2 linked regions of the Lepisosteus oculatus genome follow. The protein of the gene in region 1 interacts with the protein of each later gene in a biochemical or structural test. Links are inferred from orthologs where the notes say so. Each region holds a gene or a part of one and is shown on either strand. Other genes may lie near its edges.

What was found.
Region 2: of the proteins of ehmt2 (region 1) and lig1, one has a biochemical effect on the other in vitro, tested with the Homo sapiens proteins (3 studies listed by BioGRID). The link is inferred for Lepisosteus oculatus from reciprocal best matches to the Homo sapiens genes EHMT2 and LIG1.

What each region holds. Positions count from the first base shown.
Region 1 is NC_090709.1:39,385,554-39,397,071, reverse strand, and holds the start of ehmt2 (histone-lysine N-methyltransferase EHMT2), read left to right. Parts: upstream 1-6,141; 5' UTR 6,142-6,359; coding exon 6,360-6,386; intron 6,387-8,741; coding exon 8,742-8,829; intron 8,830-9,138; coding exon 9,139-9,536; intron 9,537-10,168; coding exon 10,169-10,247; intron 10,248-10,369; coding exon 10,370-10,446; intron 10,447-11,400; coding exon 11,401-11,518. Other genes in the region: zinc finger and BTB domain-containing protein 12-like, read right to left, coding at 136-324, 1,868-2,071. UniProt on the Homo sapiens protein: Histone methyltransferase that specifically mono- and dimethylates 'Lys-9' of histone H3 (H3K9me1 and H3K9me2, respectively) in euchromatin.
Region 2 is NC_090699.1:6,243,513-6,254,894, reverse strand, and holds the start of lig1 (DNA ligase 1), read left to right. Parts: upstream 1-6,213; 5' UTR 6,214-6,400; coding exon 6,401-6,417; intron 6,418-7,764; coding exon 7,765-7,836; intron 7,837-8,528; coding exon 8,529-8,694; intron 8,695-9,492; coding exon 9,493-9,628; intron 9,629-10,149; coding exon 10,150-10,275; intron 10,276-10,948; coding exon 10,949-11,382. Other genes in the region: ETS domain-containing transcription factor ERF-like, read left to right, coding at 858-984, 2,055-2,263.

The sequences.
Region 1 (11,518 bases):
TCACACAGACACACTGACTGGACACTCCAGTACATGAACACTGCGCTGAGAGAGAGAGGGGTTCATACACACACACTGACTGGACACTCCAGTACATGAACACTGCACTGAGAGAGAGGGGGAGACCAGACTCACAGCGGTGGCGATCTGGGGTTCGATGAACTGGCTCAGGGCGCCCCTACACTTCTCCACCACGTGCTCCATCTGCAGGTAGCTGGCCGCGGTCAGGTAGTCCACGATCTCCCTGACCGTGAACTGGAGCACCCCAGTGTAGCAGGACTGCAGCAGCTCGCAGACGATACCAGAGCTGTGGAGCCCCGACACCTGCCCAGCGAGAGAGAGACAGTGAGAGGGGTTCGTTCAGGGAGACTGCTCTCAATCCAGCTCAACATGACCGATGAGTACAATCGGTGTTGCCAAAGCAAAACAACTACAGTTAACATCAAATCTACAGACTTTTACAATACAGGAAAAAAGATCCTGAGATTACTGAGAGACAGACTCACTGTTCCTCAGGCTGGGACAGGAGATCACACACTGTATTATTATTATTGAGAGACAGGCTCACTGTCTGTTCCTCAGGCTGGGACAGGAGATCACACACTGTATTATTATTATTGAGAGACAGGCTCACTGTCTGTTCCTCAGGCTGGGACAGGAGGTCACACACTGTATTATTATTATTGAGAGACAGGCTCACTGTCTGTTCCTCAGGCTGGGACAGGAAATCACACACTGTATTATTATTATTGAGAGACAGGCTCACTGTCTGTTCCTCAGGCTGGGACAGGAGATCACACACTGTATTATTATTATTGAGAGACGGGCTCACTGTCTGTTCCTCAGGCTGGGACAGGAGATCACACACTGTATTATTATTGAGAGACAGGCTCACTGTCTGTTCCTCAGGCTGGGACAGGAGATCACACACTGTATTATTATTATTGAGAGACAGGCTCACTGTTCCTCAGGCTGGGACAGGAGATCACACACTGTATTATTATTATTGAGAGACAGGCTCACTGTCTTTTCCTCAGGCTATGGTCACTGAGCCTGTCCTCTCTGGACAGTCAGGTCTGCCTGTGTCCAGTGTCTGTGTCCAGGCTGTGGTCACTGAGCCTGTCCTCTCTGGACAGCCAGGTCTGCCTGTGTCCAGTTTCTATGGCCAGGCTGTGGTCACTGAGCCTGTCCTCTCTAGACAGCCAGGTCTGCCTGTGTCCAGTGTCTGTGTCCAGGCTGTGGTCACTGAGCCTGTCCTCTCTGGACAGCCAAGTCTGTTTGTGTCCAGTTTCTATGGCCAGGCTGTGGTCACTGAGCCTGTCCTCTCTTGCAGCCAGGTCTGCCTGTGTCCAGTGTGTGTGTCCAGGCTGTGGTCACTGAGCCTGTCCTCTCTGGGCAGCCAGGTCTGCCTGTGTCCAGTGTGTGTGTCCAGGCTGTGGTCACTGAGCCTGTCCTCTCTGGACCGCCAGGTCTGCCTGTGTCCAGTGTCTGTGTCCAGGCTGTGGTCACTGAGCCTGTCCTCTCTGGACAGCCAGGTCTGCCTGTGTCCAGTGTGTGTGTCCAGGCTGTGGTCACTGAGCCCGTCCTCTCTGGGCAGCCAGGTCTGCCTGTGTCCAGTGTCTGTGTCCAGGCTGTGGTCACTGAGCCTGTCCTCTCTGGACAGCCAGGTCTGCCTGTGTCCAGTGTGTGTGTCCAGGCTGTGGTCACTGAGCCTGTCCTCTCTGGACCGCCAGGTCTGCCTGTGTCCAGTTTCTATGGCCAGGCTCTCTCTCTCTGTGTGTATGTGTGTTGAATGCATGTGTGTGCGTGTGTGTGCATGTGTATGCTGTGCGTGCGTGTGCCGCGGTACCGGGTCCGAGCCCCCCACCTGCAGCTCGGAGGAGGGGTTCAGCAGGAACTGGTCCCTCAGGAAAGGGGAGCAGGCCGCCAGCACCACCTTGTGGCCCCGGAACTGCTGGTTGTCGTTGGCGACAATGGTGACGTCGCAGAAGCGCTGGCGCGAGCGCAGCTGGTTCAGGTTGCGCAGCGTGGCGTCGCCGTGGCCCGGCAGGCGGAACCGCAGTACCTCCATCTCGCCACCGGGGGGCAGCAGCGCGCTGGTTCAGAGCGAGAGCGACACTTCAGCTGTACCGTTACTGACGAACTGCACACTATAGTACAGGAATTCATAGGTACTGCTTATCAAGTATTCATATCACATCTAATATTATTACTGCTAATTCATATTTAATTAATACTGCAGTGAGACAGGACCGTTCCAGTACATGAACACTGCACTGAGAGAGAGAGGGGTTCATACACACACACCCTGACTGGACACTCCAGTACATGAACACTGCACTGAGAGAGAGAGGGGTTCATACACACACACTGACTGGACACTCCAGGACATGAACACTGCACTGAGAGAGAGAGGGGTTCATACAGACACACTGACTGGACACTCCAGTACATGAACACTGCACTGAGAGAGAGAGGGGTTCATACAGACACACTGACTGGACACTCCAGTACATGAACACTGCACTGAGAGAGAGGGGGGTTCACACAGACACACTGACTGGACACTCCAGTACATGAACACTGCACTGAGAGAGAGAGGGGTTCATACAGACACACTGACTGGACACTCCAGTACATGAACACTGCACTGAGAGAGAGAGGGGTTCATACACACACACTGACTGGACACTCCAGTACATGAACACTGCACTGAGAGAGAGGGGTTCATACAGACACACTGACTGGACACTCCAGTACATGAACACTGCACTGAGAGAGAGGGGTTCATACAGACACACTGACTGGACACTCCAGTACATGAACACTGCACTGAGAGAGAGAGGGGTTCATACACACACACTGACTGGACACTCCAGTACATGAACACTGCACTGAGAGAGAGAGAGAGGGGTTCATACACACACACTGACTGGACACTCCAGTACATGAACACTGCACTGAGAGAGAGAGGGGTTAATTCAGACACACTGACTGGACACTCCAGTACATGAACACTGCACTGAGAGAGAGAGGGGTTCATACACACACACTGACTGGACACTCCAGGACATGAACACTGCACTGAGAGAGAGAGGGGTTCATACAGACACACTGACTGGACACTCCAGTACATGAACACTGCACTGAGAGAGAGAGGGGTTCATACAGACACACTGACTGGACACTCCAGTACATGAACACTGCACTGAGAGAGAGGGGGGTTCACACAGACACACTGACTGGACACTCCAGTACATGAACACTGCACTGAGAGAGAGAGGGGTTCATACAGACACACTGACTGGACACTCCAGTACATGAACACTGCACTGAGAGAGAGAGGGGTTCATACACACACACTGACTGGACACTCCAGTACATGAACACTGCACTGAGAGAGAGGGGTTCATACAGACACACTGACTGGACACTCCAGTACATGAACACTGCACTGAGAGAGAGGGGTTCATACAGACACACTGACTGGACACTCCAGTACATGAACACTGCACTGAGAGAGAGAGGGGTTCATACACACACACTGACTGGACACTCCAGTACATGAACACTGCACTGAGAGAGAGAGGGGTTCATACAGACACACTGACTGGACACTCCAGTACATGAACACTGCACTGAGAGAGAGAGGGGTTCATACACACACACTGACTGGACACTCCAGTACATGAACACTGCACTGAGAGAGAGAGGGGTTCATACAGACACACTGACTGGACACTCCAGTACATGAACACTGCACTGAGAGAGAGGGGGGGGTTCATACACACACACTGACTGGACACTCCAGTACATGAACACTGCACTGAGAGAGAGAGGGGTTCATACAGACACACTGACTGGACACTCCAGTACATGAACACTGCACTGAGAGAGAGGGGGGTTCACACAGACACCCTGACTGGACACTCCAGTACATGAACACTGCACTGAGAGAGAGAGGGGTTCATACACACACACTGACTGGACACTCCAGTACATGAACACTGCACTGAGAGAGAGAGGGGTTCATACACACACACTGACTGGACACTCCAGTACATGAACACTGCACTGAGAGAGAGAGGGGTTCATACAGACACCCTGACTGGACACTCCAGTACATGAACACTGCACTGAGAGAGAGAGGGGTTCACACACACACACTGACTGGACACTCCAGTACATGAACACTACACTGAGAGAGAGAGGGAGGTATCGATACATCAGTTAATAATACTCTATCGACAGCGGGAGATAATCATGATCACAGCCAGCCCGGACGGGGGGACCAGCTCATCCCCAGAGCTCGGAGGCCGGGGGGCACGGCCGGACCGGCCGGACCCGCGCTGCCCACCCGTGGGCCGGACCCGCAGCCCCCCGCGCGCGCTGCGTGGGGCTGTTAACGGGGAAGAGCTGCCCCACTCGCGCCGCCGTGCGCGATCACAAGGCGACGTGGGCGGGGAGGGAGGAGGGTGGACGCTGTTATTGTGCTATCAGCAGCCGGGCTGCGCTGTGTCTGCGCCGCGGGTCCGAGCCCCGGCCGGCTCATTCACCCCCCGATCGCTCAATTCCGCCCCCACAATAACGCGCAATTAGACACCCCCACCCCCCTACATGCACCCGCACTTACTGGTGCTCGCCTCGTGCTCTCCCGTCCCGAGCCGCGTCCTCGAGCGAGATTCTCGCCGCGGCGGCGCGCGCAGGGCTGCCGGCCCCCTTAAAGGGACAGGAGCTCCGTTTCCACCCTGTCTGTGTGTCGCGCGTCTCGGGGGGGGGTGTGAAACATTCCCCCGGGCCCCGGGCTGTCGTGGGGGGGGGGCTGACGTCTCACCGGGCTCACGCCTGACCAGCGAGACACACACACACACACACCTGGGAGCGACACACAGACACACACAGAAGTGCGCGCACACACACCTGGGAGAGACACACAGATACACACGCACCTGAGAGTGACACACACAGGCACACACACACCTTGGAGTGACACACACAGGCACACACACACCTTGGAGAGACACACACCTGGAAGAGACACACTCATTCAGACAGAATTACACTCACACACACATTCACACAGAAACATACACACACCCACGCGCGCACACAAATGGAGATCTGAATCAGTATCTACATTTTCCCCCCGCTTCAGAAATCATAAAAAATGGAATGTATCTTCCTTATTTTGAACGCATCTAGTTGGGTTCGGAGTGAAATAATTGTCCAGTATTGTCCAAGGGAGCAGATATGAAGAGACTCGGTTGTCATGTGGGATGTTTCTGGGAAAATGACAAAAGGATTGTGTCACGTCTCCTGTATTTAAAATACATGTCTTCTTTCTCTAAAATAAAAAGAAATACACACACACACACACACACACAGGTACGAGAGGACGATACAGATTAGAGGCGGTTACCCCAGACACACGTTGAGCTCGGCACCCCCCAGCATCGACACACACACAAACACAGGAGGAGCCCAGTGATAACCCCTATTACTATGAGTGTCCGCGCGACAGGTCCTATTATCACTATTATTAATTTGCCCTTGTGCACGGTTTGTGGCGGACAGGGGGTGCTGTCATACTCGTTGTTTACACTGTTATTGCTATTGTATTTACTGTCTGTCGTCCTGTCTGCTGCTGTTCTGTATGGACAGCGCCTGACGGACTCATGAGAAACTCTTCACTGCACTCCGCACCCGTGTCAGTATAATAATAATATAAGTCAAGTTGATCACTAGAAAAGACGAATAAAGTAGTAACAGTCAGTGTGGAACGAGACAGTGGATCAGCACTGTTTAAGGGTCTGGCAGTTCGTTCTGATGTACAATTCAGTTAAAAGCGTCAGAATCTCAGATCTATCTCAGATCAAACTATTTTTTTATGATTTTTTTTAATTTAAACCTCCGAAATACAAAAAAAGGAGACCAAATATTAAAACATATACAGAAATAGACGCACTCGCAATTATTAAAGCTGAAAATTGAGCTTTTTTTACATATTTTCCTTGTATGTCTTCCTTTAAATGCTAAAAAAAAAATATCAGATCGGAGCATGACTGGTTTCTGACGTCACAAACATGGACGCGGCCTTTGGGCTTCAGAGCACCTGGCCTCGGTCATGTGACCAGGGTGAGCTTGGCAGCGGCGGAGGGGGGAGGGGCGGAAGAGCGAAGCCCGGGAAAGCAGACAAACGGGAGGGGGCGGGGCCCGGGCGCGACGTGCCCGTGACGTCAGACGCCCGGGATTGTTCCCCGGCGGAGGACAATGGCGAGGGGGCGGGGCGCGCCGGCGGCGAGGGGGCGGGTCGCGCTCTGAGTGACGTCTTTCTCCGTCGCCCCGGAGTCGGAGCCAATATGTCGGCGGCTGAGCTCTCGAGTGAGGTGAGGAGACCTGATTTTGGATGCTTGCGTGTTTGGATTGATGTGGTCACCCCCCATCCTGCACCGTGTTGTCCGTGTGCAGCGGGACGGCCGCTTGGGGGGCGGGGGGGTTCCCGCAGCGCCTGCAGGGGCGCCTCGTTTCTGTCTGTAGGCTGGGGTACAAAGAGGCGCCCAGCGCCTTGCACAGAGCCGGGTCTTTTCAGGGTGCGAGCCCCGTCTCCGCGCCTGGACGCGCTGCTGCGTGTGTTAACGCTGCTGGGCAGACCCCGGCGTGGTGGGGAGGGCGATCGGCTGTGTGCGTGTGCGTGGAGGGGATGTTGTGTTTTCATCCAGGGAGACCGGACCCATATTCTCTCGTCTCTTTGTTCCTCAGTGCTCCGCCACACAGCCGGATTGAGAGCAGTCTGATCCACTGCACGTTTACAGCGATCTCTCAGACCCCCAGTGCACAGCAGTCTGATCCACTGCACGTTTACAGCGATCTCTCAGTCAGACCCCCAGTGCACAGCAGTCTGATCCACTGCACGTTTACAGCGATCTCTCAGTCAGACCCCCAGTGCACAGCAGTCTGATCCACTGCACGTTTACAGCGATCTCTCAGTCAGACTCCCAGTGCACAGCAGTCTGATCCACTGCACGTTTACAGCGATCTCTCAGTCAGACCCCCAGTGCACAGCAGTCTGATCCACTGCACGTTTACAGCGATCTCTCAGTCAGACCCCCAGTGCACAGCAGTCTGATCCACTGCAGGTGTGACAGTGCTGTCAGTCAGACTCCCAGTGCACAGCAGTCTGATCTGCTCCAGGTGTGACAGTGCTGTCAGTCAGACTCCCAGTGCGCAGCAGTCTGATCCGCTCCAGGTGTGACAGTGCTGTCAGTCAGACTCCCAGTGTGCAGCAGTCTGATCCGCTCCAGGTGTGACAGTGCTGTCAGTCAGACTCCCAGTGCGCAGCAGTCTGATCCGCTCCAGGTGTGACAGTGCTGTCAGTCAGACTCCCAGTGCGCAGCAGTCTGATCCGCTCCAGGTGTGACAGTGCTGTCAGTCAGACTCCCAGTGCGCAGCAGTCTGATCCGCTCCAGGTGTGACAGTGCTGTCAGTCAGACTCCCAGTGTGCAGCAGTCTGATCCGCTCCAGGTGGTACAGTGCTGTCAGTCAGACTCCCAGTGCGCAGCAGTCTGATCCGCTCCAGGTGTGACAGTGCTGTCAGACTCCCAGTGCGCAGCAGTCTGATCCGCTCCAGGTGTGACAGTGCTGTCAGTCAGACTCCCAGTGCGCAGCAGTCTGATCCGCTCCAGGTGTGACAGTGCTGTCAGTCAGACTCCCAGTGCGCAGCAGTCTGATCCGCTCCAGGTGTGACAGTGCTGTCAGTCAGACTCCCAGTGCGCAGCAGTCTGATCCGCTCCAAGTGGTACAGTGCTGTCAGTCAGACTCCCAGTGCGCAGCAGTCTGATCCGCTCCAGGTGTGACAGTGCTGTCAGTCAGACTCCCAGTGCGCAGCAGTCTGATCCACTCCAGGTGTGACAGTGCTGTCAGACTCCCAGTGCGCAGCAGTCTGATCCGCTCCAGGTGTGACAGTGCTGTCAGACTCCCAGTGCGCAGCAGTCTGATCCGCTCCAGGTGTGACAGTGCTGTCAGTCAGACTCCCAGTGCGCAGCAGTCTGATCCGCTCCAGGTGTGACAGTGCTGTCAGTCAGACTCCCAGTGCACAGCAGTCTGATCCGCTCCAGGTGTGACAGTGCTGTCAGTCAGACTCCCAGTGCGCAGCAGTCTGATCCGCTCCAGGTGTGACAGTGCTGTCAGTCAGACTCCCAGTGCGCAGCAGTCTGATCCGCTCCAGGTGGTACAGTGCTGTCAGTCAGACTCCCAGTGCGCAGCAGTCTGATCCGCTCCAGGTGTGACAGTGCTGTCAGTCAGACTCCCAGTGCGCAGCAGTCTGATCCGCTCCAGGTGTGACAGTGCTGTCAGACTCCCAGTGCGCAGCAGTCTGATCCGCTCCAGGTGTGACAGTGCTGTCAGACTCCCAGTGCGCAGCAGTCTGATCCGCTCCAGGTGTGACAGTGCTGTCAGACTCCCAGTGCGCAGCAGTCCGACCCCCTCCGGGTGTGAATGTCAGTCCTTAGACATGGTATGCCTGCTTTTCGAGCTCAGTGAAGCTGCGTGAATCTGGCACAAACACTAAAACCCAGCACATTCGTTTCTGCTGGTTTTTGACGTTGCAAGTAGCATTTGAGTGGCCTTCATGCCTGAGATACGGCACCTTATTTTTTCGAGGGTGCACTGTCGATCTCCATAGCAACGCATCCGTTCGGTCAAAGTGGAACTAATTACTTCTGCCTTCGTTTCCCCCACACCAGGAGGACACTAACCAGGGCGGACTCTCAGAGCAGAAGAAGAAGGCGGAGATTGCTGCCGGGAAGGACTCTGGTGACCAATCAGGAACAGGCAAGCCCACAGAGAGACACACCCACCCACAGAGAGACACACCCACCCACAGAGAGACACACCCACAGACAGTCACAGAGAGACACACCCACAGGGAGAAACACCCACAGACAGTCACAGGGAGACACACCCACAGGGAGAAACACCCACAGACAGTCACAGAGAGACACACCCACAGGGAGAGACACACACACACACACCCACAGAGAGACACACCCACAGACACCAGCCCCTCACTGGACACCAGTCCAGCACATAATAATAATAAAATAGCTCAGACTGTCTCCCTGCCCGTGTTCCGGTATCCAGGTGACGACGCCGGCGCCGCGGCGACCGTTCCCGAGGAGGCGGAGCCCATGGGGGGGATGATGTCGTCGCCGAAGGATTCCGAGAGGGAGGGGGAGGGGGCGGCCAAGGGGGGAGGGGAGCGGGCGGAGGAGGGGGGGGCGGTCTCCACGGCGCCCCCCGCCGGCAAGGGGCTGGCGGGCCACGCGGCCAAGACTCTCTCCTCCTCCTCCTCCTCCTCTTCCTCCTCCTCCTCCTCCTCCTCCTCGTCCCCCCCGGGTCGGGCGAAGATGAGCATGCCCAGCCAGGGAAAAGCCCCCCCGCCCGTGAGCCCCCCCGCCGACCCCCCCGCCGGCGCCGCGGCACCCCCCCCCAAAGTCCACCGGGCCAGGAAGACCATGAACAGGCCTGCGGCTGGACAGGTGCGGCCCATCGGGACCTGGGGCTGCCTGACTGTCTGCCTGCCTGCCTGTCTGTCTGTCTCTCTGACTGTCTGCCTGCCTGCCTGCCTGTCTGTCTCTCTGCCTGCCTGTCTGCCTGTCTCTCTGACTGTCTGCCTGCCTGCCTGCCTGTCTGTCTCTCTGCCTGCCTGCCTGTCTCTCTGACTGCCTGTTTCTCTGACTGCCTGCCTGCCTGCCTGTCTGTCCGTCTGCCTGCCTGTCTGCCTGTCTCTCTGACTCTCTGACTGTCTGCCTGCCTGTCTGTCCGTCTGCCTGCCTGTCTCTCTGTCTCTCTGACTGCCTGCCTGTCTGTCTGCCTGCCTGTCTCTATGCCTGTCTCTCTGAATGCCTGCCTGTCTCTTTGACTGCCTGCTTGTTTGCCTGCCTGTCTCTCTGACTGCCTGCCTGCCTGTCTCTCTGACTTCCTGCCTGCCTGTCTGTCTCTCTGCCTGCCTGCCTGTCTCTCTGACTGCCTGCCTGCCTGTCTCTCTGACTGCCTGCTTGTTTGCCTGCCTGTCTCTCTGACTGCCTGCCTGTCTGCCTCTCTGCCTGCCTGCCTCTCTGCCTGTCTCTCTCTGCCCTGTGTCTCACTGTCTCTCTGTCTCCCTGCGCAGATGAAGAGTGTTGATCCTCCTGAGCCTGCAGTGGACGCCCCTGAGCCTTCCACCAGCTCGCCACTAGAGGGCGACACAGGTCAGCCGGTCTCTCCTGTCTCCATCCTCTCCCCTCTCTCTCCCCCCTCACTCCTCTCTCTCCCCTCTCCCCTCTCCTCTCTCTCTCCTCTCTCCCCGATTGACTCCCGCTCTGTCTCTCAGGAGGAGTGAAGAGGAGGAGGCTGGATGTCTCGTCGCCCCCTGCAGGGCAGCTGGAGAAGAGCAGCGAGGAGGAGGAGGTGGGTGGGGTCACGCTGACGGAGAGCCTCGAACCCTGTGTGTCTCTCCGTCATATTGTCTGTCTTACCTCTCCTGTCTCTCTCTCTCCTCTGCCTTATCTCTCTCTCCTCCCCTCTCTCCTGTCTCTCTTCTCTCTCTCTCTCTCCTCTACCTCATCTCTCTCCTTCTCTCTATCCTGTCTCTCTCTCCCCTCTCTCCTGTCTCTCTTCTCTCTTTTCTCTCTCTCTCCTCTACCTCATCTCTCTCCTTCTCTCTATCCTGTCTCTCTCTCCCCTCTCTCCTGTCTCTCTTCTCTCTCTCTCTTCTCTACCTTATCTCTCTCCTTCTCTCTATCCTGTCTCTCTCTCTCCCCTCCTCTCTCCTCTACCTTATCTCTCTCTCTCCCCTCTCTCCTGTCTCTCTCTCTCCCCTCTCTCTCTCCCCTCTCCCCTATCTCTCTCTCCTTTCTCTCTCCTCTACCTCATCTCTCTCTCTCCCCTCTCTCTCTCCCCTCTCTCCTGTCTCCTGTCTCTCTCTCCCCTCTCCCCTATCTCTCCCTCCTCTCTCTCTCTCCTCTACCTCATCTCTCTCTCTCCCCTCTCTCCCCTCTCTCAATTCAGTCCAAGGTGCTTTATTAGCATGACCGATGGGTACAATCAGTGTTGCCAAAGCAAATAAAAATAATAAAATTAACATAGAACAAAACAAAAATAGAAGTAAAATAAAATCTACAGACATGTTACAGACATTTACAACAAAGACATATTATATAATATTGACATACTGTAGGCAGCTGGAGCATTATTGGGAGACGGACTCACTGTTCCTCAGGCTGTGACAGGAGATCACACACTGGGCTGCCAGTTCAACTGAGTTCCCTCCTCCCTCTCCCAGTAGGATTGGGACCTGTTGTGGTTTTGGCACAAACTCTCTCTCTCCCCTCTCTCCTCTCTCTCTCCTCTCTCTCTGTGCAGAAAGTGGGCGGGTCCCCGGTGGCCGAGGGGGCGGGGCCGGGCGAGGAGGACCGAGGGGATTGGCTGGAGGAGTGGGAGACGGAGGGAGGGGAGGAGTTCCGGCTCTTCTACGACAGCT
Region 2 (11,382 bases), on another chromosome or scaffold:
TCAGCCAAACACCTGGTCCTTCACACACAGGAAAGCCCAATGTGCACTCTGACTTCTGATACAGGGAGTCATACAAAGCTCCAGCAGTTCAGTTATGCTTCCTTGATGACAGAGCCATAGACACATAGTCACTACAAACAACATAAGAATGCAGTGGTTGCACGCTCAGGCCAGGAGCTCTTAAGTTGGGAAAGCTGCCCTGCTTGTGACCCGTCCTGTCACGCCCTGTACTCCTAGAGGGTGCCCTACTTCTGTCCTGTTCCTAGTTCCCTGTGATTATTCATGTCTTTCTGGTGTGTCTTGTTGTGTAGCCTATTTACTCCCTGGGTCTGCTCCGCTCCTGGCTCAGAATTGAGGGTACGGATGTCCTGAGACCCGCCTAGCACCAGGTCGCTCCTGTACGTGGCCTGAGGGCATAGGTTTCTATTCCGACATTGTCTGACCCCCTTGAGCCTGGGCTAATCTCTGTGTTGTCCCCTTTTTACCGCTAATCATAGGGTCTTTATTGCTCTCCTGGCCATTCCACGGCATGCCCTTTCCCGACATCCATAACACCTACAGAACCGCTACACCCACCCTTTGTGACTGTACCTCCAGCCCCTAGCTGTTGTCAGAACACAGCCCTGATGTCATCTTTTGCGGTCCCCAGCGTGGATTCTAAAAGGGGGTACTCCTTTATGAGCAGGAGAGTTTCAGGGTAACTGGTGTCACCACCGATGTCTCAGACTCGGGCTGTAGTTTTCATGTCTCTCCTTCTCACTGCAATTCACCCTGCGGCCAGGGGGAGGTGCTGCCTGCCAACATACTCTGAGAAACCATCAGCCCTTATTCTCATCATCATCATATCAATCTGTCAGTTCCTGCAGAACCTGCTGTTCACCCAGAGAGCCCTGGTGAACCAGATCAGCTCTCGGAGAGCAGGGTGTCCTGGTGACGTCACCTGTGGAGTGGAGGGGATATCAAAGACACCAGGGCTGGACAGAGGTAGGACACCTATAGGGTTTAGTGGGGGGAAGGGGTGAAGAGGGATATCAGAGCCTTATTTATCAAACTCAGGGAAGCCTGCAAAATTACAGCTCATGCCATGGACTGGACCAAACTTCCAGTCCTCATAAAGATACGTCACTAGCTTGGGTCTGGAGAACCGATCTGCAGTACAAAGATTAAAAGCAATCAATGGTTTGGCACTGACGACTACAATCAATTTAAATAATCCGCTTTTCACTGTGGCTCTGTATCTTACACACCTGGCTCGAGTCCAGCTGCATACCTGTGGGCTGGAAAGATGATCGGTCCAGACCACGGGTGATCCCGACAGGTGCAATAAGAAATGAACACCCTTGAGGGAAGACAGGCTGCCCCCCCATTGCATGCTTTTCATCGTGTTGTTTTTAGTTACAAGCGTCAGTAAGTGTTTCTAATAATTATCCAGGAGAACATCAGAGAGCAAGCGTGGCACAGCAGCACAGCGGTTTGCGTTATTGTCTTGTAGCGCTGGGGCCCTGGGTTCAATTCCAGACCCGGGGTGCTGTCTGTGTGGAGTTTGTGCTTTCTGTGTTCGTGTGGGTTTTGCTCTGGATGCTTTGGATCCTCCCACAGGCCAAAGATATGCTGGTGTAACCCACTTAACCAATTGGATTCTGGGAAAATTGGCCTTGGTGTGAGTGTGCATATCTGCCCTGTGATCTTGTCTTGCGCCCGTTGCTGGCCAGGAAAGGCTCTGGCTCTCCTGTGAGCCCAAGTTGGAAGATGGATGGAATTCACTTGAATACTACTGGAAAAAACAAAATAAAAACGATAAAAAGCACAAATAAATGGGTGTCTGTATGTCGTAACTAAGTGGTTAAGATCTGCAATACTAACTGTCTAATCCTACCTATAAAATACTGAATTATCCCATTCATCTTCAATTGCAGCTCTGCATTTGGCTCGCCACCCGTTTTTTCTGCACCCCTGCTGTCTCCCAACGCCCCTCCCCTTCCCACATTCCCCTCTCCCGGGTGGGCGTGTCTCCTATATCTCGGCCCCGCCCCCTCCGGGACTGAACCTATCAGACGTCCCCCACCTGCCCCCCCTCAACCCCAGCCTGCACTTCTGCCCGCCCTTTCCGGGCGCGCCGATCCCCTGGCCAGCCAGCAGGAGCAGGATGGAGCAGGAGGAAGAGGAGAGGGCCGGCGGGGTCCCGGTGAAGAAGGAGAGCCGGAAGGGGAGTGACCAGACCAGGATGGGGCAGTGGAAGACCGGCTTCCCTGTTGCAGTTTGATTTACAGACAATATTCCTTCTGTCTTTAACACGCGATTGATTTGAACGCTTGTCCCTGCCAAATTCAAATCCCTCCTCCATCCGAGACTGTGGAAGTGCTCCACTTATCCTTCTCTCATTTCACCATTCAAATTGGTAGAAATCAGACTCCCACCTGGAGTCGTTACTCCTGACCTGTCCTGAGCACGTTTTAGACAGACGCCTGCTGTGGTACAGTGTACATGTCACGATCGTAAACCCCTCCTCTTAAGGACGCTCCAGCCCTTCCTTGTTTTCCACTCATCTCCTGCACCTGCTCCCTGTTCCAGCCCCCTTTAAAAGCCAGGCGCTCACTCTGTTCCGGGCTCTGCATTGGGTTCCGTACCAGGCGAGTCCAGGACCTGGAAGCGCCTGGTCCCGTTAAGGTTTTAGTTCCTGTTCCTGTTCCCGTTCCCGTTCCCATGCCGGTCCTGACCCGGTTCTTGTTTTATCTCGTCGGGCTTTGGACTTTTGCCCTGACTTGGATTCCCCTTTTGGACTCAGCTCTGGATTGTTTGCCTCGGCCACACCTCCCCCGAACACAAGCGCACCATGGAAACGCCCCCCGTTTTCATTCCCGATTCCCGCATGCTTTTTTTCCCCTGTGTTTTTTCTCACTCATCCCCGGATTGTGTCGTCTGCATAGGGTCCAGAAAGAACGCTTTTGTTACATTACGAGACCTCACGAGTAACTGAAAGGCCGGGATAATGTTATCAGGAATAGACACTGGACCATAAAAGGAATGGTCACTCATAAACCCCTCTACATGGACTATTAAACCCTCTGGATCACTCCTGGAATTCAGGACACGGTGGAGGAAATCAGTTCCCCCACCAGCACTCGGTGACTTAAAGACCAGAGCAGAACAGCAAGGAGAAAAATTACTAGCTGAGGAACAACGTGTTTTATACTTTGTTCTCTGCGGTTTTTACAGTGAGTCTGTTATGAGGTGACATCGCTCACGTACCATAGGTAACCTGACTTTGGCAGATCCCTTGTTAAAAGAAACAATATGTGCTGTGACCATTTACATGACCGTCGCGGTTCCGCGTGGGCTTCTGCCCTCCGCCACCCGTTTCGTCCCACCACACCTGGGGTGCGAACCTGGGTCTCCGGCGTAATGCAACAGGGCACCAGCCACGTGAGCTAAAGGAGACCTCCCCCAGCCCAGGCGGCTGAGGTCCCTGCGCTGCGCGAGGGAAGGCGATGACGTCACAGTGCCCGAACGCGCTCCGCTACAGTATGAAGCTCAAAATACCCCTTGTGTGCGTTTGCTTCCGGTGTTCTTGAAAAACAGCTTCTTTTTTGGTCACAAATAAACTCATCTCCAACCTTCTGCGGACTGCACTTTGACTCCCTGCATCCCGACAAATAAAAAAGCAGACATCCTCAGCTCCCATTTCCAGAAGAGAGACCCAGATCTGGACAAGGAAGAAGACAGCTCATTGAGGAAAAAAAAGCAAAGGCTTATTGGAAATTAAGATGCCTCACTTGTGGCCGAATCAAACCCATTTATCTTTAAGAAAAGAAACAATAGTCTGTAGACACAGTTATAGCAGGGCTGCTCAACCCCTGGCCCTCCAGTTGACTCCATTGCAGGACTTAGATCCTCAGCAGCTACAGTGTGTCGATCCTGCTAAAACAGGGTTTTTGATGAACGTTTGGGGAGGATGACAGCAACTAAGCACCCATCTATCTGCCTCCTGCCTCCACCTGCGCAGCCCCCTCTCGGTCTTCTCCCCGCCCTGCTGACTTCCTCTCTCCTCAGCCCAGGTGTCGAACCCCCCAGCCAAGCAGAATGAGCCAACGCGTCTTGCGTCCAACCCCCTGACCGCTATTCCGAAACAGATGCTCTTGCTGGATGTCGGGGGAGGGATCTGGACTTTGTGAGCTGCTGGAAGCATCTGCAGTACCACGTAGATGCTCAAAACTGAGATCCCCCCAAACAACTTCAATACAAAGTTATTAGTTGTTAAGTAGCAGGATCACTATAGCATCAGGAAAGCTGGTAGCATTATAGCACTGCAGTGAATGAGATTGGAGGGGTCAAAGGTTGAATGTTCTGGATCTACTCCGTGTGTCTCCATTCTAATTCTGTATGTTATTTCACTACAATTAAAATATATATAACTTTGTGCCATTTTCATTTCATCATGTTGTGGTTCACGCTTTTATTTGCAGAGTTTCTGGTTCGCATTTGTGTTTCTCTGTTCTTTGTTTGCTTCTTTGTTGAAACAAAAATCTGGATTCAATCAAAGCTCCGATCGAGTCACCCTCTGCAGATCTGTTTTGAATCAATGAAAGCAGAAGTGGTCGGAGTAAGTGATCAGTAAATCATGAAGTGATCAGAACCTCAGATCTCCAGGTGTCAGTGTGAACAGAGGAGGAGTTCAGGCTGTGGAGATCAGTAGGTGATCAGTAGATCAATAGGTGTTCAGAACCTCAGATCTCCAGGTGTCAGTGTGAACAGAGGAGGAGTTCAGACAGTGGAGATCAGTAGGAAATCAGTAGATCAGGAGGTGATCAGAACCTCAGACCTCCAGGTGTCAGTGTGAACAGAAGTGTGTAGGAGGTAATCAGTACACTGTAGACCTCCAGGTGTCAGTGCGAAAAGGGGAGTGGAGGAGGTGATCAGTAGACTGTAGATCTCCAGGTGTCAGTGCGAGCAGAGGAGGAGTTCAGACAGTGGAGATCAGTAGGCTGATCAGCAGGTGATCAGTCGATCAGGAGGTGTTCAGAACCTCAGATCTCCAGGTGTCAGTGTGAACAGGAGTGTGGAGGAGGTGATCAGTAGACTGTAGATCTCCAAGTGTCAGTGCGAAAAGGGGAGTGGAGGAGTTGATCAGTAGATCACGAGGTGATCAGAACCTCAGATATCCAGGTGTCAGTGTGGACAGGTTGGTGTAGCAATGGGGATCATTAGACTCTAGATCTACAAGTGAGCTGCAGGTCACCACTAACAGGCTTGTCAGAAGAAATTCAGTGGGTGAGTAAACCAGCCCTCTAGTGCCAAAAGACATTTTGTCTTGTGAATGCAAGGAAATGGTTCACTTTATTTGGATTATAATTCTTTATGTGTTTTTTTTCCAAAGTAGGTGTGTGTTTGGCATAGGCTTCATGTCACACAAACAATCCAAATGACACAAACAATTCCTGTAAATTCTGTAAATGTCTGTGCACCAATAGTAATGTGCAAACATCATAAAATATGATAGAGAGAATTGCTACCTAGGCTGTTAAAGACTGTTGTAGCTGTTTTAGGAGTCAGGATACCATAAGGTATTTTGTCAAGAAATGGGGACTTAGACATATCCTGTCCTTATGGCAATGTGACTCTTTATTTTCACATTCAATATTATTATATTATTATGCTGCTGTAATTTCAACTAATGGGGATTCTGACAAAAGAAAACAGATACAAATGATCATGCTCTCTTTTTACTCCCATTTATAGATGCTGTTCAGAATGAAATCATATTTCATATTTCGTAATATATTCTTAAAGTCTTAGTTAAAGTCATCATAACTGGCCACTTTCAGTAGGCTGAACTGACTGGCTTACTTCAATAATTGAATTTATCGTCGTCTAGACTGATTTGTACAGAGAATTTTTTTTTCTAAGTTTATATGAGTTTGATTTACTTTTGCCCATCGACTTAACATCATATACCCCTCTCCATGTATAAGATGTTCAATAAAGTCAAGCTGAAATAATCCACAGTTCTGAGTTTGGCCGTTTTTCTTTAAGCAGTAAAAGCCCTGGGGCAATGAGAAGAGAATTCTGCGACGACCGCACCGTGACGGCGATACACAAACCTCTGCCCCCCACCAAGATGGCGACGTCGTGCGGCGTTTCCGGGTGTTTCTGTTCAATCTGTGTCAAAGAGCGGGATGTCTATGGTTCTCGTCTGCAGGGCGGGTTTTCCCGGCAGCTGCTGGGCGACGTCACTTTGGCGCTTCAGTTTAGAGTCGGAGCGCGCGGAAAGAAAGCGGTCGGGAAGGTGGTAGTACTTTGGATTAATTAAACAAACACACAAAAAGAGAAAAACACGTTATCTTCGATTTGATTTGCTGTTTGGCATTCTGGACCCGGGCCTTGAAGACATCCGGAGCTGACGATGCAGAGGAGTATAGCGTGAGTTTCATCACTGGCGATTTGCTGGGTGTTTGTGCATGCAGAGAGAGACTTTGCAGCAGCCTGGGCTGAGAGGGCATCGGGCATTGATGTGCACGTATCTGTATGTGCCGTCGTGTTCAACGGCTCTGCTGGCGTGCCTTGAAATGGTTTATTTTTTTCCGGTTGTGTTAACGATAGCACGCGTCGTTTTAACCGGGTTGCAAAAGAAATATGTGGTTTAAAAATAAAAAAAAACCAAGGAATCGTACTCAGCGATTGTGTCCTAGACGCAGGTCTTTTCACAGGTTTGGGGTCTCTTCTACAATCGCCGATTGCATTCGGGATGAGCTGGAGTCTCACGGCCCGGCCTGCTGTAGGCTGTTTATTTGGCTGCTGTACTGTACTGTACTGTAGGGGAGGCTGGAGCCGGAAGTGTGCGTGTCCAGAGCCCCGCTTGGCAACCTGTTGACCGGTCAGTGCGACCTGCGGCTCTGACTTGAGACGAGAAACAATTTGTGCCGCCGCGTTTTATGCTCCGTGCGATTTAAAGTTCAGGACTGACCGCCTTTTTCACTGCTGCAGCGTTGAGCTGCGTCCAGGCGCGTAGCTGCTGCGCGGTGATGCCGGTGCATTATTTATTTGCCAGCAGCCATGTCCCCCTGCAGCTCAGCACTGGCAGCCCCACTGGAGCTCAGCAGTGTGAGCCTGACCAGTACCCTGGAGGGGAGACTCCTGGGAGAGCTGAGGCTGCTGCTGGAAGAGGTGTTAGTGGGGCCAGTAGGGGGCGCTCACCCTGCGGTCTGTGTGGGTCCTAATGCCCCAGTATAGTGACAGGGACACTAGACTGTAAACAGGCGCCGTCCTTCGGATGAGACGTAAAACCGAGGTTATGACTCTGTGGTCATTAAAAATCCCAGGGTGTCTCTCGAAAAGAGTAGGGGTGTCACCCCGGTGTCCTGGCCAAATTTCCCCCTGGTCTTTACCCATCATGGCCTCCTAATAACCCCCCTCTCTGAACTGGCTCCATCACTCTGCTCTCCTCCCCACTGAGAGCTGCTGTGTGTGAGCAGACTGGAGCTTCACCCAGGTGGGGGGACACACTGGTGGGGGTGGAGGGGATCCCCATGACCTGTAAAGAGCGATGTTATTTATAAATTGCGGGTTTTGGAAAAGCAAAGGTGTTGGGTAAAGAAATGTTGTTGAATCGTCTTTACCGAATGAAAATAAAATCAGATCTCTGGCTTATTAAAACCCATGATTTTAAAGGCGCTTCCGCCTGTAGTTATTGTCCGTGGCCCACACGGTTCGTGTCGACCTTGGTCGCTGTGCGTGTGTGTGAAATGAAGTCCGCGCTCTCTGTCGCAGCTCGTTCTTCCGGCCCGCGGCGGCTGGCGACGGGAAGACCAAGGGGAGCGCGAGGACCGCGGAGAAGACGGAGTGAGTAAAAGACTTTTACTGCCTTTTTACCCTGATCTCACTGGGCTGTGCTGCACTGTGTTTGTACCCCGATCTCACTGGGCTTTTACTGTGCTGTACTGTGTTTTTACCCCGATCTCACTGGGCTGTACTGTGTTTTTACCCCGATCTTACTCGGCTGTACTGCTCTGGACTGTGTTTTTACCCCAGTCTCACTGGGCTTTAATGCACTGGACTGTGTTTTTACCCCAGTCTCACTGGGCTTTAATGCACTCGACTGTGTTTTTACCCCAGTCTCACTGGGCTTTAATGCACTCGACTGTGTTTTTACCCCAGTCTCACTGGGCTTTAATGCACTCGACTGTGTTTTTACCCCGATCTCACTGGGCTTTTACTGTGCTGTACTGTGTTTTTACCCCGATCTCACTGGGCTTTTACTGCGCTGTACTGTGTTTTTACCCTGATCTCACAGGGCTTTACTGTACTGTACTGTGTTTTTACCCCAATCTCACTGGGCTGGACTGCGCTGGACTGTGTTTTTACCCCAATCTCACTGGGCTTTTACTGTGCTCTACTGTGTTTTTACCCCGATCTCACTGGGTTGTACAGTAACTTTGCTCATCATTAAGGAGATCATCACCCCCGGGTTATGATGGGGTGCCCAGCTCCCCAAGCCCCAGATCCTCAGCTCAACCTCTCCCTCTGTCTCCCAGGCCCGCCAAGTCCCCCCTGAAACCGCAGAACGGCACCCCGGAGCCTGACTCCCCCATAAAGAAGACGGCCAAGAGAACCCGACGCATCGCGGACAGCGACGATGACGAGCCGCGTGGCGGGGAGACCCAGGGGGCCACTCCTGCACCCCAGGCTGCTGCGGAGCAGGTGAGCGCCCCGCTTTTCTCTCATGCCTGGGGGGCCGTGAGTTCAAATCCAGCTGGGGGGCACAGCTGCTGCCCCCTTAAGTGAGGTTGCGCCTGCAGTCCCAGCTGTGAGAGTGTCGGGAACAGACACTGCAGGAGACTGACAGGCGCTCTGGATAGCGGAATAATACAAGAATCGAGTCCCCAGGCAGTTAGCAACATGACCTCTTGGGATGACACTGTTTCCCATTCAACCTGAGCTATCCCTTAACTGAAGGGTCTAATTGATCACTTCCTCGGTCAGTCAGACCACGCGGTCATCTGCTTCATGTTCATTGAATAAAACCATCCAGTGAAACCTGCAGCGTGTGTGAGGTTGAGTCGTCAGCACCAGGTGGCTGCTCTTAGAGCAGGGGCAGCTGTGTTTTATCAGTAGAGCGAGGCCGTGTCTTGCATATTTGTTCGAATTTCAATCTGACGGTAGCCAGAACGGCGTACATTCATGTTGTGAAGTGCCCATTTGTTGCTTGCTTTTATATTTGTTAAGAGACGTCCTTATAGCACAGTGTGTATACATATACATTCCCAATGTAATGTTATAGATATATGTACATTGTAGCACGTCTGTTAGTTAATTGATTGGTGTAACTGACCAGTTAATTGGTTTAATTGGCCTTTTTTTATTTACTGTAAAATGTAAACATTCTTAGAACACTTTCTCCAGCCCCCCTTTGATTGTATTGTAACGGTAAAATTGTCATCATATTTTTAGGGGAGCAATATTTTTAGGGTCTTTTATTCTGGGTTTTCTCCCCTCCAGGTCACCCCTGTATCTGCCCCTCCCCAGCCCAGGACGGATTCTGCCCCGGACGTCAGCTCCCCCTCCGGCAGCGAGGGCTCCCCCGGCAGCGAGGGTGCCGTCATCTCCCCCTCCGGCATCCCCAAGCGGCGCACCGGTACGCCCCGCCCCCATGGGGCGGCGCTGGGTCAACCCTTCGGCGTGGTTCCCATAGATAGTTTGGCAGACTCATAATACTTGTTAACCCTGCATGCCGATCACATTGGAAACTATCTGCAGTGAAATGTCTGTTGCACAACCTGCACTTCTCCACTCATTCATGAGAGTACATAGTCATTGCAGGGACTAGTGAGCAGGAAGGGCTGCAATCAAGTTACAGTTGGCCGGAGCTCGAATGCCAGTTTGCGACCACATGGCGATTTATAGTACTTTCACAAAGTTCACAATTTAGCAATGCCATCGATGAATTTATTTTGTGATTGAGACTTAATAACCCGTCTGAGAAATTAATTAATTTAATTGATTAAGGGGGGCACAGCTTAAATCTGGGGATTTAAACCAGGATCCTCCTGGTTGTTTGCTGAAATACTTGAAGATCTACTTGTCTGTGTCTGTGTTGCTGTTCTGCGTGTTTTTCCATGTCGATGATGATGAACGGGAACTTGACTCCTTCTGCAGCCCGGAAACAGTTCCCCAAAAGGAAACTGGAGATCACAGAGGAGAGACGGGCGTCGCCCCCAGAAGACGCCGGGCCGTTGGAGAGCCAGCCCAAGAGAGCACGACTGGAGGATCGGGAGACGCCAGGTAAGAGTCTGAAAGGATTTGCTTTTGGAAAATGAGACTGAGAAATTAGGGAAAACGTGTCAAGAAAAACTGCTGGTCAGTACAGGTCCCAGGACACTGTCAGTAAGAGTAGGGGTGTCCTGACTGCTGGTCAGTACAGATCCCAGGACACTGTCAGTAAGAGTAGAGGTGTCCTGACTGCTGGTCAGTACAGATCCCAGGACACTGTCAGTAAGAGTAGGGGTGTCCTGACTGCTGGTCAGTACAGATCCCAGGACACTGTCAGTAAGAGTAGGGGTGTCCTGACTGCTGGACAGTACAGGTCCCAGGACACTGTCAGTAATAGTAGAGGTGTCCTGACTGCTGGTCAGTACAGATCCCAGGACACTGTCAGTAAGAGCAGGGGTGTCCTGACTGCTGGTCAGTACAGATCCCAGGACACTGTCAGTAAGAGTAGGGGTGTCCTGACTGCTGGTCAGTACAGATCCCAGGACACTGTCAGTAAGAGTAGGGCTGTCCTGACTGCTGGACTGTACAGATCCCAGGACACTGTCAGTAAGAGGAGAGATATTAACTCCACTCTTGTGATTAATCTCTACTCTGGGTTACACTTTCCTGATATTCGGGGGTGGGTACTCTTCTTCGCTTCTTTTTGCTTCTGGCTGTTCACATTTATGCGTGTGTGTCCCCGAAGCAGAGAAGGTGAATGGAGAAGCCATGGAAGTCGACTCCGGGGGCGTCCCCTCGGAGAAGCAGGGAAGCTCGCCCGTCGGGGGACAGCCAGCCGGAGCGGCCGAAAGCGACCCCTCGCCCGGGGCGGAGGAGGGGACGGGAGACATCGCCGAGATGAAGGTCGAGCCGGGGCCGGGCGAGGCGAGAGAATCGGAGCCCTCCGAGGACGCTGGGAAAAAGAGGCTGGACGCCACGTCCAAGCCAGCTGCGCCGAAGGCAGGGGCCGCCTCCCCTCTCCAGAAGCCCGACGACGCCAACGCCAAGACCAAGACCAAGACGTCGGCCAGACCGGCTGCGAGCAGGGTGAAGTCCCCCCAGGCGGACAAGAAAGAAGGGAAGAAGGGAGAGGAGGTCGGAGCCGGGAAGTCGGTGGAGCCAGGGAAGGTGGAACCTGCC